Cricetulus griseus: one gene and its partners. The protein of the gene in region 2 purifies or fractionates together with the protein of the main gene of each other region. This does not show direct contact. Links are inferred from orthologs where the notes say so. Each region holds a gene or a part of one and is shown on either strand. Other genes may lie near its edges.

Region 1 (3,649 bases), on a different chromosome or scaffold from region 2:
CCGTTAATCCCAGCATTTGGGAGGCCAAAAATCTCTGAGTTTGAAGCCAGCCAAGTCTACATAGTGAGTTCCAGGCCAGCCAAAGTTACATAGTGAGACCCTTTGGGGGGGGGGGTTATTAAAAAAATACAGAGCAGGAGGATATGCCATTGCTCAGAAAGTCTTGGCTTTTGTTTTCTTTTCTTTTTAACTAAAAGAAAGTTATTTCAGGGTATTTAAAAAGACAAAGCTTGGCTGTACCTGGGGAGACTGACTCAGTGGGTAAGAGCACTTGCTCTGTAAACATAAGATGAATTTGAATCCCCCATCACTCACATAAAGAGCTATAATCCCAGCATTTGAAGGGCAAAGGCAGGTAGATTCCAAGAGCTTGCCAGCCAGCCTAGCCAGCAAACTAGAGAGTTTCTGGGTCCAGTGAGAGGCTCTGTCTCAAGGCAATAGTGTGAAGAGTGGCAGGTGTACATACCTAATATCGTATTCTGGCCTCTGTATACATGTACCTGGGTGCATGCCCCTGCACACTGGCATTTATATCACACACCCACATGAGATAAAGCTTTTTGGTGTCCAAGTATCTGGATTTGTATTCTGCATATATGCTAACTAAGCCTGGCTAACCTAAAATCTGCTGGCCTCAAACTCCCTGATACCCTCCCGCCTCTTCCTCCCAAGTGCTGTGGGTTTGCCACCTCTCCTAGTACTAATATTTGTGAACTTTAGTTCTTTCCTTATAAGAATGCTCAGGTGTGAGTTAGACTTGAACAACAGAGGCTTTTAGAAATATTAAACACTGATGAATTATTGGCAGAATGCTATTCTACTTTAAAAACTGTAGTTCTCATTCTTGTGATGATTTATAATCACCGTTAGAGTTGTGTGCTGAGTGGTCACATATGTGTCATCCCAACTGAAGCAGGATCACTTGTGCTCAGTGATCCTGGCCAGCATAGCAGAATTGCCTTTCTAAAACTCACCCTCTGTGCTCCATAAATTTCATTCTTCAAATTTATAAGACAAGAACCCCAAAGCAGCTGGTTTGAGTGGGCCAGGGTTTTGTAAAGTCAATGGCCTTTAAAGCCATCCCAAGCTAGTGGCTTTTGGGTTCATGTCTCATGGTGAGTTAAAAGCGTTTTGTCGTAGAGCTCTTAGAGAAGGTCATGCTAGCTCCTGAGCAGGAGGGGTCATGTAGCTAATAAAGCTTTACTGGATGGAGGTGTGAGCTGGCCAGTCCGAATAGAGCCCTCCTTTAGGGAAGCAGAAATAGGGGGAAAAAATGACTTTCCAAAAAAAAAACCTCTACTCTCAGGTTTTTGTTTGGGTTTTTTTTTTTTTTCCCTAAAACATCATGGTCAAATTCTATGCCCTGTTCTTATCACAAGGACATGACTGGTGACTCATTCTGGGTCCTTTCTGTCTTACCTGTCTCTAGTATAATAATGAAAAAATGATGTGTTAACAGGATCTAATTCTAAGCATTTCTTGACATTTCTCCTAGGTTTAGCTCCACCTGATGCTCTATGTATGTCTGTGTATAATCCTAAAACTAGTCTTTGGTTTGTACTAAAATTTTTGTTTCCTGTGGTCTCCAGGAAATTCTGAAAAATATTGGTACAATAGGCCACCTGCAAGCTATATGTGGGCCTCTTACATAAAATTCGTATTCTTTGAGACAGGCGAGACAGCCCCTCTGTTACTTATTTGTCCATTGGCATCATCTCCTCTGTCCTCCAATAGTGGATAGTCCCACGCTCCATTCCTGGGGAGTTAACATCACTTGTTGCTTTCCTAAGAGGACACTATTCAGTTTCCTGCACCCCTGTTCTAGCTTAGGGACTCTGACCCCCTCCTCTAGTCTCTGCTAGCGCCTACACACACACACACACACACACACACACACACACACACACACACACACACACACCCACCCACCACCCACCCACCCACCCACCCACCACCCACCCCTCACCCTCTACCTTACTAAAAAAGAAAAAGAGAATGCTTCCCTCGGGTCTTCCTTTGTTTGCTTTCTCGTCATTGAGGCTTTCCCTTGTGTGATTTCTTTACATAGGCGACATGTCTCACACACAGCCACTCTTCTGAAAGTATGAAAGTACCTTTTCCCAGGACCTATATGATCTTCATGGTACTTCCTGTACCCTATACCTGAAGAGTGTGTTTTTATACCTTTGCCCACTAAATATAAACTTCACAAGATGAAAACCTTGGCTTTGCTTACTGCTGTCACTCACACCTAGCATAGATTCCATAACTTGAATGAATTGCTACTTACTACTAAATATTCTTTTTACTTCTTTTCTTGTAATATACAGGATTTTGGAGATGGAGGTGCTTTCCCAGAAATCCACGTGGCCCAGTATCCACTGGATATGGGGCGAAAGAAGAAAATGTCAAATGCACTGGCCATTCAGGTGGACCCTGAAGGGAAAATTAAATACGATGCAATTGCTCGACAGGGGCAGTCCAAAGACAAGGTAATCTCATTGGTTTTGTGTATTTTTCTTGTTGATAAATTTTGTGAAGTTTTACATTTTGTGGAAATGATACATCACTTGTCATTTTGGATTATATAAAAATAGCAGGGAGGTTGGGGCTGGAGAGATGGTTCAGTAGTTAAGAACACTTGTTCTTGTAGAGGACCTGAGTTCAATTCCCAGCATCCACATGTAACTAGAGTTTCAGAGGCTCTGATGCCCTCTTCTGACCTCCAAGGGCACCAGGCACACCTGATGCACATACATTTATGCAGGCAAAACATTCATAAGCTTAAATAAGTCTTAAAAAAATATAGCAATAAAGTTAGTGTTCTAACTGATGGTAGATCACCTGCTTGGTGTGCACAAGGCCTGGGTTTGAGTCGAGCAGCAAAATCAAAAAAGTTGCTATAAAATATATAGCTCTAAAACATTCTTTATTAACTTTGTGACCAACAATGACACTATGCCTTGAAATTCTGCACAAATTGGTAATAGCTATTCTCCCCTTTAGAACAGTCCAGGCTGGCCTTCACCCTCCCAGTTCTGCAGGCCACATCTAACACGATAGCTTTCCTACTTATGTTTTGTTTGTTTTATATTTCAAAAAGTTATTTTGTATTCCAAAATTGCTACCAAACTTACAAAAGTCAATAATGCCACAAATGTGCACATAAAGTAAATAAAATATTAAAAAAAGCTGTATTTTGCAAGTAGTATATTCTTATGGTAAAAGAAACCTGTGGAGAACCAACTGTGGTGATGCACACCTTTAATCCCAGCAGAAGCAGGCAAATCTCTTGAGTTCCAGGCCAATTTGAGCTACATAGAGAGACCCTGTCTCAAAAAACAAAACAACAACAGAAAGATACCCATTTATACGTGGTATTCCTTGCTTTCCTGGTATTTTATTTGCCAGGGGTAGCAGCTGTAACTGCAGTGATCTATGTCTTTCCAGATTTTGTTGTGGCTTAGATTGTTAAAACTGAACTGTAGAACTTGGGGTTTCAGTATGTGGCCAAAGAAAGTTTCCTAAAAATTGTCCTTTGCATATAATAAAGGTCTTTTGTTTATAATGTGGCCACTGAAATTAAACCCAGAGCTGGTCATTTAGAGAGGTCACTCTTCCGGTCCATACAACACTTTTGGGTTTTTGT
Region 2 (3,749 bases):
AAACAAAATCTAGGTAACAATTATGACTCAATTAGAAACTGGTAGTAAAGAGCACAGCAATCTGTTCAAATTAGAATACTTTAAACAGAAAATCAGCTTTTGTCTTTTGAGAACTGTAAAGACTTAACCAGGAGCCTATACCCACTGTAGTTTTTCAAAATCTTTACTGAAACACCTGTGGTTTTACTACACCTGAACGTTGTTTTTTAATCAGCCAATTCTCCAGTAAATCTAGTTTCAAAACCATAAATCTTCCGATGAGTTGAGTGTATGAAGCTTTAGCAAATAATGAGACGAACAAACACTTAGGTTTCTCTATGTAGCTTTGTACACCAGAGATCCACCTGCCTCTGCCTCCCATTCAGAAATCCACATTTCTAACACTTTTGAAGGACTAAAAATAGAGGAAACAAGGTCTCACCAGGCCTGAGAATTCTTTGTAGACCAGACTGGCCTCAAAATCATAAGCTATCAGCGAGTTCCGCTGGACTGAAGTTGTGCCCCACCATACCTGGCCTGTATGTCTAACATTTAATGGCAGGTGTTTTTAACCAATCTCAACTACTGCCAGTAGTCTTCTTGCATACTAATTTCCGACACTTATTTACAACACTATTTTTGATGGATGCCTTCCTAGCTATTTCTCTTACCCATTTCTCACTTCACCAGAGCAAAATCTTACTCTTAAATTCTACTTCTAAGGCACACCTTAAAATGATGAGGCTTGGCAGGCAGTGATGGTCACATTTAATCCTAGCACTTGAAGAGGCAGAGGCAGGCAGATTTGGTCTACAAAGCAAGTTCCAGGACAGCCAGAAGTCATACAAAGAAACCCTACCTTGAAAAAACAAACAAATGGCTCGGAGGCGGGGCAGGCCTTTGATCCCAGGATCAGGAGGATACAGAGGCAGGCGGCTCTACCAGACCAGCCTGGTCTAAAGAGGGAATTCCAGGACAGGCTCAAAAGCTAAAGGGAGAAAATAGGTCCCCAAAAAATAAAAATTAAAACAAAAAATTAACTCCCAGATAAACTGACACCCTACACTATTAGTGCTGGGGATTAAATTAAGGGCACCTTGCATCCTAAGCACTACCACTGGGCTACATTAGCAACAGCTGTAACAAATGGCTGGGAGTTAATAGTTTGGGGGGGGGGTTCGAGACAGGGTTTCTCTGTGTAGCTTTGGAGCCTATCCTAGAACTCAGAGATCCGCCTGCCTCTGCCTCCCGAGTGCTGGGATTGAAGGCGTGCGCCACCAACGCCCGGCCCAGAGGGTTGCTTTTTTAAAAACTGCTTTGGAGCTCTCCTCTGTTTTAAAAACAAACAGCCAAAAACAAACAAACAAAAAAAAAAACCAAGATTTTACTGTGTAGTTCTGGGCTGGCTTGCAATGGATACTGATCCTCCTCCTGTCTCATGGCCTCTGGAATGCAAGAATTACAGGCATGCAATACCACACCTGGCTGGAAACTCCTTATTACCAAGTTTAGAACTGATAGGATATTGGAATATCCGGAAAAGACTATTTTGGTTTTGCTCCGGTTACCTTTAATTTCGCTATCAGCTTCCCCTAAAAACTCGATTGTCTTTTTCGTACACAGTATTCCAGTATTCTTTACCTACCTAAAAATATCTTAGTCGCTCTAATTTAGTAAATACTGTCAACCAATTTACCTATCGTTTCTCTCTCAAGACAGCAGTACCTACCTCAAGCAAAGTCCCACTAACATATATTTCAAGTAATTCGTAATCTGCAGATTAAAAGGTAAGTTGCAATTTTATTGCAATTTTAATTAACCCGTGACACTTCCCTTTTACAGAAAACACTCCGCCTTCTACCATTTATTCCTACGGGAGAAAAAGTAATGAATACTCGATCTATTGTTAACACGCCGCTCGGATGCCATGTGGCCCGCCCGGAATTTGGAAGCTTCCAGTACATCATCAGCGTAACGCTCCGCCACCCCCGCCCGACGTTGAACTTAGAAGACTTAATAACGGAATCGTTAAGACATTAAACCTCAATTAGGGTAACAAGCTTGCATTTCTTCCTTTTCACGCTCCCCTCTCCGAGTCCTGGCGGTCGAAGGCAGGCAAAGTGGCCGTTAGACACGAGCGCGCCGGCAGGGTATCCTCCGCGCCGCCCGCGGCCTGGAGGTCACCAGGCTGAACCTGCGCCAGAGCCGAGGCCTGGCGCCGCCCGACTTAGACCCGGTCCCCGGGCCACGGGAACCAACGCGGGCGCCGTTCCTGCCGCCAGGCCGTTCGCTCCCACACCCGCTCGCAGCGCCCACGAACCCGCGCCTCCCCTGCACTCGGCCCCTCCGCTTACCAAGAGTTCGGAGAGAGAGAGAGAAGACACTGCCTCTCCTACTGCGGCTCCGTGCGGAGACTCCGAAGCGACTGCAGGCAGGCAGCACACGACCGTTCGCTCTCCGGCGCTCCACAAAATGGCCCCCGAGCTCCTCTGCCGCCGAGGCGAAGGTCCAGCCCCGCCCCGCTCCTGGGGGCGTTCCTATTGGCTGAGCCTTTTCTCGCTCCCGCTCCTCATTAGATGGCGCTACCGCTCCTCACAGTGCTAGCCAATCGCGATCGGGAGTAGGTTGGTCTAGTTGCGAGAATTTCCACCTGCGTCACCGAAGCTCGTTAGTAATTGGTGGAGCTTCCTGTCACTTAGGGTATGAAGGATGGTCATTGGCCACTGTACCAGACGGAAAACTGGGTGGAATGTTCGCCTTTGTATCGCGCACAGCTTCTCATCCGGGTACCGGCGGGCCTGACTGACGCCGCGTCGGCCTATCGGCGCTTAGTGGACTGCCTAGATCCGCCCTGATCACTGCATTTCCGCGGCGCGGGGGTGGTAAAGTCTGGGTGGAGTCTGGTAGCGGGTGCAAAGGGCCTGCCCTCGCCCCGGGCCTAGGAAAAGGAAAACCAAAGTAAGCCTGAGCGTGGGGAAGAGAGTAATCCCTAGACCGCCTGGAGTGTAGATAAGACAGACCTGCAGTTTTTTTCAATTTCAGATCCTTCTCATTTCCACATTGTGTGAGCTGCCGGGAGGAGGTGGCCTCTCAGCCCACGAGGCTAGACAGCTCCTTCCAAACCTAGTCCTCTCCTGTTACCTGGACCCCTCCAAGTCGGTTGCAAAATCTGCAAACCGAATGGCCGGCCACCTCAATTTCCGATTTCCTGCAATAGTCTGACGGCCACTCAATCCCCTCAGGCCTGGCCTGCCAGTGAATTTCTGGTTATTCTGGAGGAACCTTGAGCACACCAAAATGTATACAGCCCCCTTAGAAAGGGAGATATTACCCCAAGGAGATACACTAGATCTAGGAAAGTCTGATTTAAATTTGGGGAAGGGGGATGTTGATTTTTGGGAGTGTTGATTTGGGGCTTTTTTTTTTTTTTTTTTTTTGGCCAGGTAGTGATGACGGTGCACGCCTTTAATCCCACCACTCAGGAGGCAGAGGCATGTGGATCTCTGAGTTTGACACCCACCTGGACTTCAGAGGGAGTTTCAGATCATCGGAGCTAGGTAGAAAAACCCTGTCTCAAAAACAAAACAAAATAATAATAATAATAATAAAAGAAAAAATTAAACGTTTTATTTATTCTATGTGTGTGTGTAAGCATTACGAGGGATCCGACAGGTAGGGATTCTGGCGTTCTGGCAATCTGGAGCCAAGGAATATGACAGGTCACAGTAATCATAGCAATTTACAGCCCTGCTCTAGACCGGAGGGGCTTC
Region 3 (3,749 bases), on a different chromosome or scaffold from region 2:
GAGCAGGGAAATCTCACCCTCCCTTGAATTTTACTTTCAACCCCAAATTTCTTAAATTTAAAAAATTCTCTTAACTATATGCCCAATCATTCTGTTTTGAAGGTACATCAGATATTATACTTACTAACATCTAGTGAGCACTTTACATAGGCTTTTCAATCTTTTTTTTTGGTTTTTCGAGACAGGGTTTCTCTGTGGCTTTGGAGGCCGTCCTGGAACTAGCTCTTGTAGACCAGGCTGGTCTCGAACTCACAGAGATCCTCCTGCTTCTGCCTCCCGAGTGCTGGGATTAAAGGCGTGCGCCACCACTGCCCGGCAGGCTTTTCAATCTTAAGGAAATAGTTATTTCTATCTTTTTATCGCCAAAGGGCATTAAGGATAACGGAATTGAAATAATGAAAACAAATTCACACACTAAAAATGTACACATCAGTTTCTGACCATAGGGTTAGGTGTTTTGCTACTGACGTATTTCCATCTTTCCTTAACATCTGGTTCCAAAACTACCTCTTTTTATTTAAAAATCCACGTTTCAAAGCTTGGCCCAATAGCGGAGAAGCCAGAGACAGGGTTGGAGGCGGAGGTAGTGGGGTTGGACTACAAAGCCCAGCATGCACCGCTGCTCCGGCAGCTGCTAGCCGGCTGTGGTTTCCTTCGTCGCTCTTCCCTCCTCCACCGAGTTTCCACATCCGAGATGGGCTCCCACGTCCCTCGCAGGTGCCACTGCCACAGATGCACGCATCCCGAAGACAGATCTGGCTACGCCCTCGCCTCCCGGGCCCTGCGACCCTGCGGCGCAGCCCACGATACCCACCTCACCGGCAGCTCCTGCACGCCGTGTGGCTCCACAGAGGACGCGCACACGGTTGCTACGGAAACGACGTGACGTTTCGCCCGACTCGTGCGGCGGTCAAAGAGCGTCTTGCGACTTCCGCTTCCGGTTCCGGGATCTAGTTTGTTGTGGGCAGGTTCTCCGGTGTGGGCTGGTTCTCGAAGCCGATTTTTGAGGTTCAGGAGTGAGTCGGAGTTGCTCCGGTCCAGCGGCTGCAGACATGGCGGCCTCTACGGCGGCCGGGAAGCAGCGGATTCCCAAAGTGGCCAAGGTAGGCGACCGCGAAGGGCCCCAAGCAGAGCATCTGTGGTGTGGTGCACTGGAGACTCGGGGCAGCGAGCTCTTTGCCTGCCTGGGTCGGTGGCGTGGCGCGGGGGTCTTGTCACTCCGAGCTCGTCTCGTGTCTGCCCAGCCTTCGTTCTAGGATGGTGTTTTTGTAACGCGGGTGACCAGTTCGGTTAAGCAAACTCTTAGCTTTGCTAGGCTCTGGGGACCGCCCCCCCCCCAACACACACACACTGCTGGAGTAAAACAAGAGGAAGGGCGAAATGGCAAGTTTGATGGAGGTACTCAGGCACCGTAGACCATGCCATGGGCAAGAACCAGAGGGTTGTCAGTAAACTTGAAGGTAAACTTTGTGGAGGAAGCTGAAACTTGAAAGCTGCGCGAAAGTTGGACAGTGGAGGGGATGGGAGGAATGGGCTCTGTGCAATGGCATAATTTAAGTTAAACGGTAGATTATTATATTTCCAACGGTGACTAATATTTCACCAATGCTTGATAAGTGGCAAGTCGTGCACTTTACCTTTACGTATGGTCTTCTCTTGTCTGATTCTTATACGTGGCCTTTTTATTCTGAGACAAGTTCTCATTTCCACATGTAATTATTGTAAAAGTCTAATGTGGGAGCTTTTTTCCCATCCTGAGTCATAAAAGCCAGGGTGTGCTGGCTAGGTTTTTTGCCACCTTGGCATAAGCAACAGTTATCTGCGGAGAGGAACCTCAGCTGATAAAATTCCTCCATCCGATTGCTTGTGGGCAAGTCTGTAAGGCATTTTCTTGGCTAATGATAGATGTGAAGGGCCCAGTTTTCTCAGGGAGTGCTACACCTGGGCAGGTGGTCCTCAGTACTGTAAGAAAGCAGGCTGAGCAATCAATCCAGTGGGCAGTGTTCCTAAATGGCTTCTGTATCCCTTCCTGCCCCAACTTCCCTTCATGATGGGCTGTGATTCAGTTGTGTAAGCCAAATAAACTCTTTCCTTCCAAGTGCTTTTTTTTGGTGATGTTTAATCACAGCAGTAAAAAAGCAAATTAGAACAGTATTCTTGCACTTAAGGTCCATCTAAATCTGAACACGCTTGGCTTGTACCTACTGTGTTGAACAACAGAGCTGTGTGTGCTCAAGAAGTTTACATGTTAATGACTGGAACTTAATAAGTTACAGTTGACTTAAAATGTCATGGGAACGCCAACTTGTCCACTAAAGGGGTTAAAATAAGTAGGGGAATTCTGTAAACAGGTTATAACGCTAGAGAGTAGTACTTATTTTACTCTTCTAACAGGGAAAAATGCTGCTATTTTGTCAGCTTTTCCTTTTGAGATTTTCACTATGGACTTGTTATCATAGATGTCATACATTAGATAGAAAATGCAGGATGCCCCACCTCCACCCTCCTTCTGTCTCCTGGAGAATTGAGCATGTCATTCAAAGAGGTCAGGTTGTCCTCATACTTACAAAGTTCACATCCTGGAAAATGTTCGTGGGTTTTCAAATCTTGTGTGGAGAACACTACCCAAAATAGAAATGTCTTTTTTTTTTTTTTTTTCCTTAAAAGGTGAAAAACAAAGCGCCAGCCGAAGTACAGATAACTGCTGAGCAGCTCTTAAGAGAGGCTAAAGAAAGAGAACTCGAGCTCCTCCCACCTCCGCCTCAGCAGAAGATCACAGATGAAGAAGAACTAAACGATTACAAGCTACGAAAAAGGAAGGTGAGTCTGTTGGGAGGGCACCGAGCATACCTGTCCATGTCACCACTCACAGTAGGAGCCAGGGCCCAGGAGAGAACTCAGAGAGAGCCCATGTGATTTGACCTCAGGCTAATATTTGGGATTATCTAATCCACTAATATTATGGAAGTTAATGTCAAATTCTGTGAATTACTGAGAGCACTTGAAGGTAATGTTAAAAATTGTTTTCTTCTTAGGAATGAGAGTAGAGTATATTAACGTACTAGTTGTTGTTATGGGCAACAGCAAAAACTACCAATAATTCTTCCAGTAGTTCATTACATCTACAGTTTTTTTGTTGTCTCCATAAACTTTAGAGATTGTATAAATAGTGATATTTATAGTGATAATAATTATAAGATAGTGATTTGTAACCATCTGTAGTGAGCTTCGTTTCTCAGCATCCAGGATATAATTTCTCTTAAAAAGAATGAAATGAGTGACTTTTATTGCAAGGCAAAAGGCGAAGTCATTTTTGCTTTAATATACTACCCTACCCCCATTTTGCCTTTCAGACTTTTGAAGATAACATAAGAAAAAATAGGACTGTGATTAGTAACTGGATAAAATACGCACAATGGGAAGAAAGTCTAAAGGAAATTCAAAGGTAAAATTGCCATGTGTAGTATTTGCATATAAAATAGTATCAACTGTCCTGTGAAAAAGTAGGAAAAGTCAAGCATTGGACTGTACTGTGTTTGAACCTCCCAGCTTCTGTTCTGTGGCATCTTCACATTCTTCTGCGGGTGCTGAGGACACTGGGAAGGACAGCCACGGAGTATCGCAGGAGGTTCTGTGTGTGTGTCTTGCCACTAGTACCCCTGTAACTAAAGAAGCAGGGTTTTATCTGTCTTCTCTGTGTTCATGTTTCAAAAATAGTGTTGTGTTGAACTCTGTTGTCAAGATTAAGA

The links.
Region 1: the proteins of Hnrnpc (region 2) and Snw1 purify together in Homo sapiens (affinity purification with mass spectrometry; 3 studies listed by BioGRID and IntAct, with this or other methods). This does not show direct contact. The link is inferred for Cricetulus griseus from reciprocal best matches to the Homo sapiens genes HNRNPC and SNW1.
Region 3: the proteins of Hnrnpc (region 2) and Crnkl1 purify together in Homo sapiens (co-immunoprecipitation; 3 studies listed by BioGRID and IntAct, with this or other methods). This does not show direct contact. The link is inferred for Cricetulus griseus from reciprocal best matches to the Homo sapiens genes HNRNPC and CRNKL1.

What each region holds. Positions count from the first base shown.
Region 1 is NC_048598.1:116,332,226-116,335,874, forward strand, and holds part of Snw1 (SNW domain-containing protein 1), read left to right. Parts: intron 1-2,330; coding exon 2,331-2,492; intron 2,493-3,649. UniProt on the Homo sapiens protein: Involved in pre-mRNA splicing as component of the spliceosome. As a component of the minor spliceosome, involved in the splicing of U12-type introns in pre-mRNAs.
Region 2 is NW_023276807.1:207,170,714-207,174,462, forward strand, and holds the start of Hnrnpc (heterogeneous nuclear ribonucleoproteins C1/C2), read right to left. Parts: upstream 2,490-3,749; 5' UTR 2,334-2,489; intron 1-2,333. UniProt on the Homo sapiens protein: Binds pre-mRNA and nucleates the assembly of 40S hnRNP particles. Interacts with poly-U tracts in the 3'-UTR or 5'-UTR of mRNA and modulates the stability and the level of translation of bound mRNA molecules. Single HNRNPC tetramers bind 230-240 nucleotides.
Region 3 is NC_048599.1:33,081,868-33,085,616, forward strand, and holds the start of Crnkl1 (crooked neck-like protein 1), read left to right. Parts: upstream 1-928; 5' UTR 929-1,052; coding exon 1,053-1,103; intron 1,104-2,667; coding exon 2,668-2,820; intron 2,821-3,353; coding exon 3,354-3,445; intron 3,446-3,749. UniProt on the Homo sapiens protein: Involved in pre-mRNA splicing process. As a component of the minor spliceosome, involved in the splicing of U12-type introns in pre-mRNAs.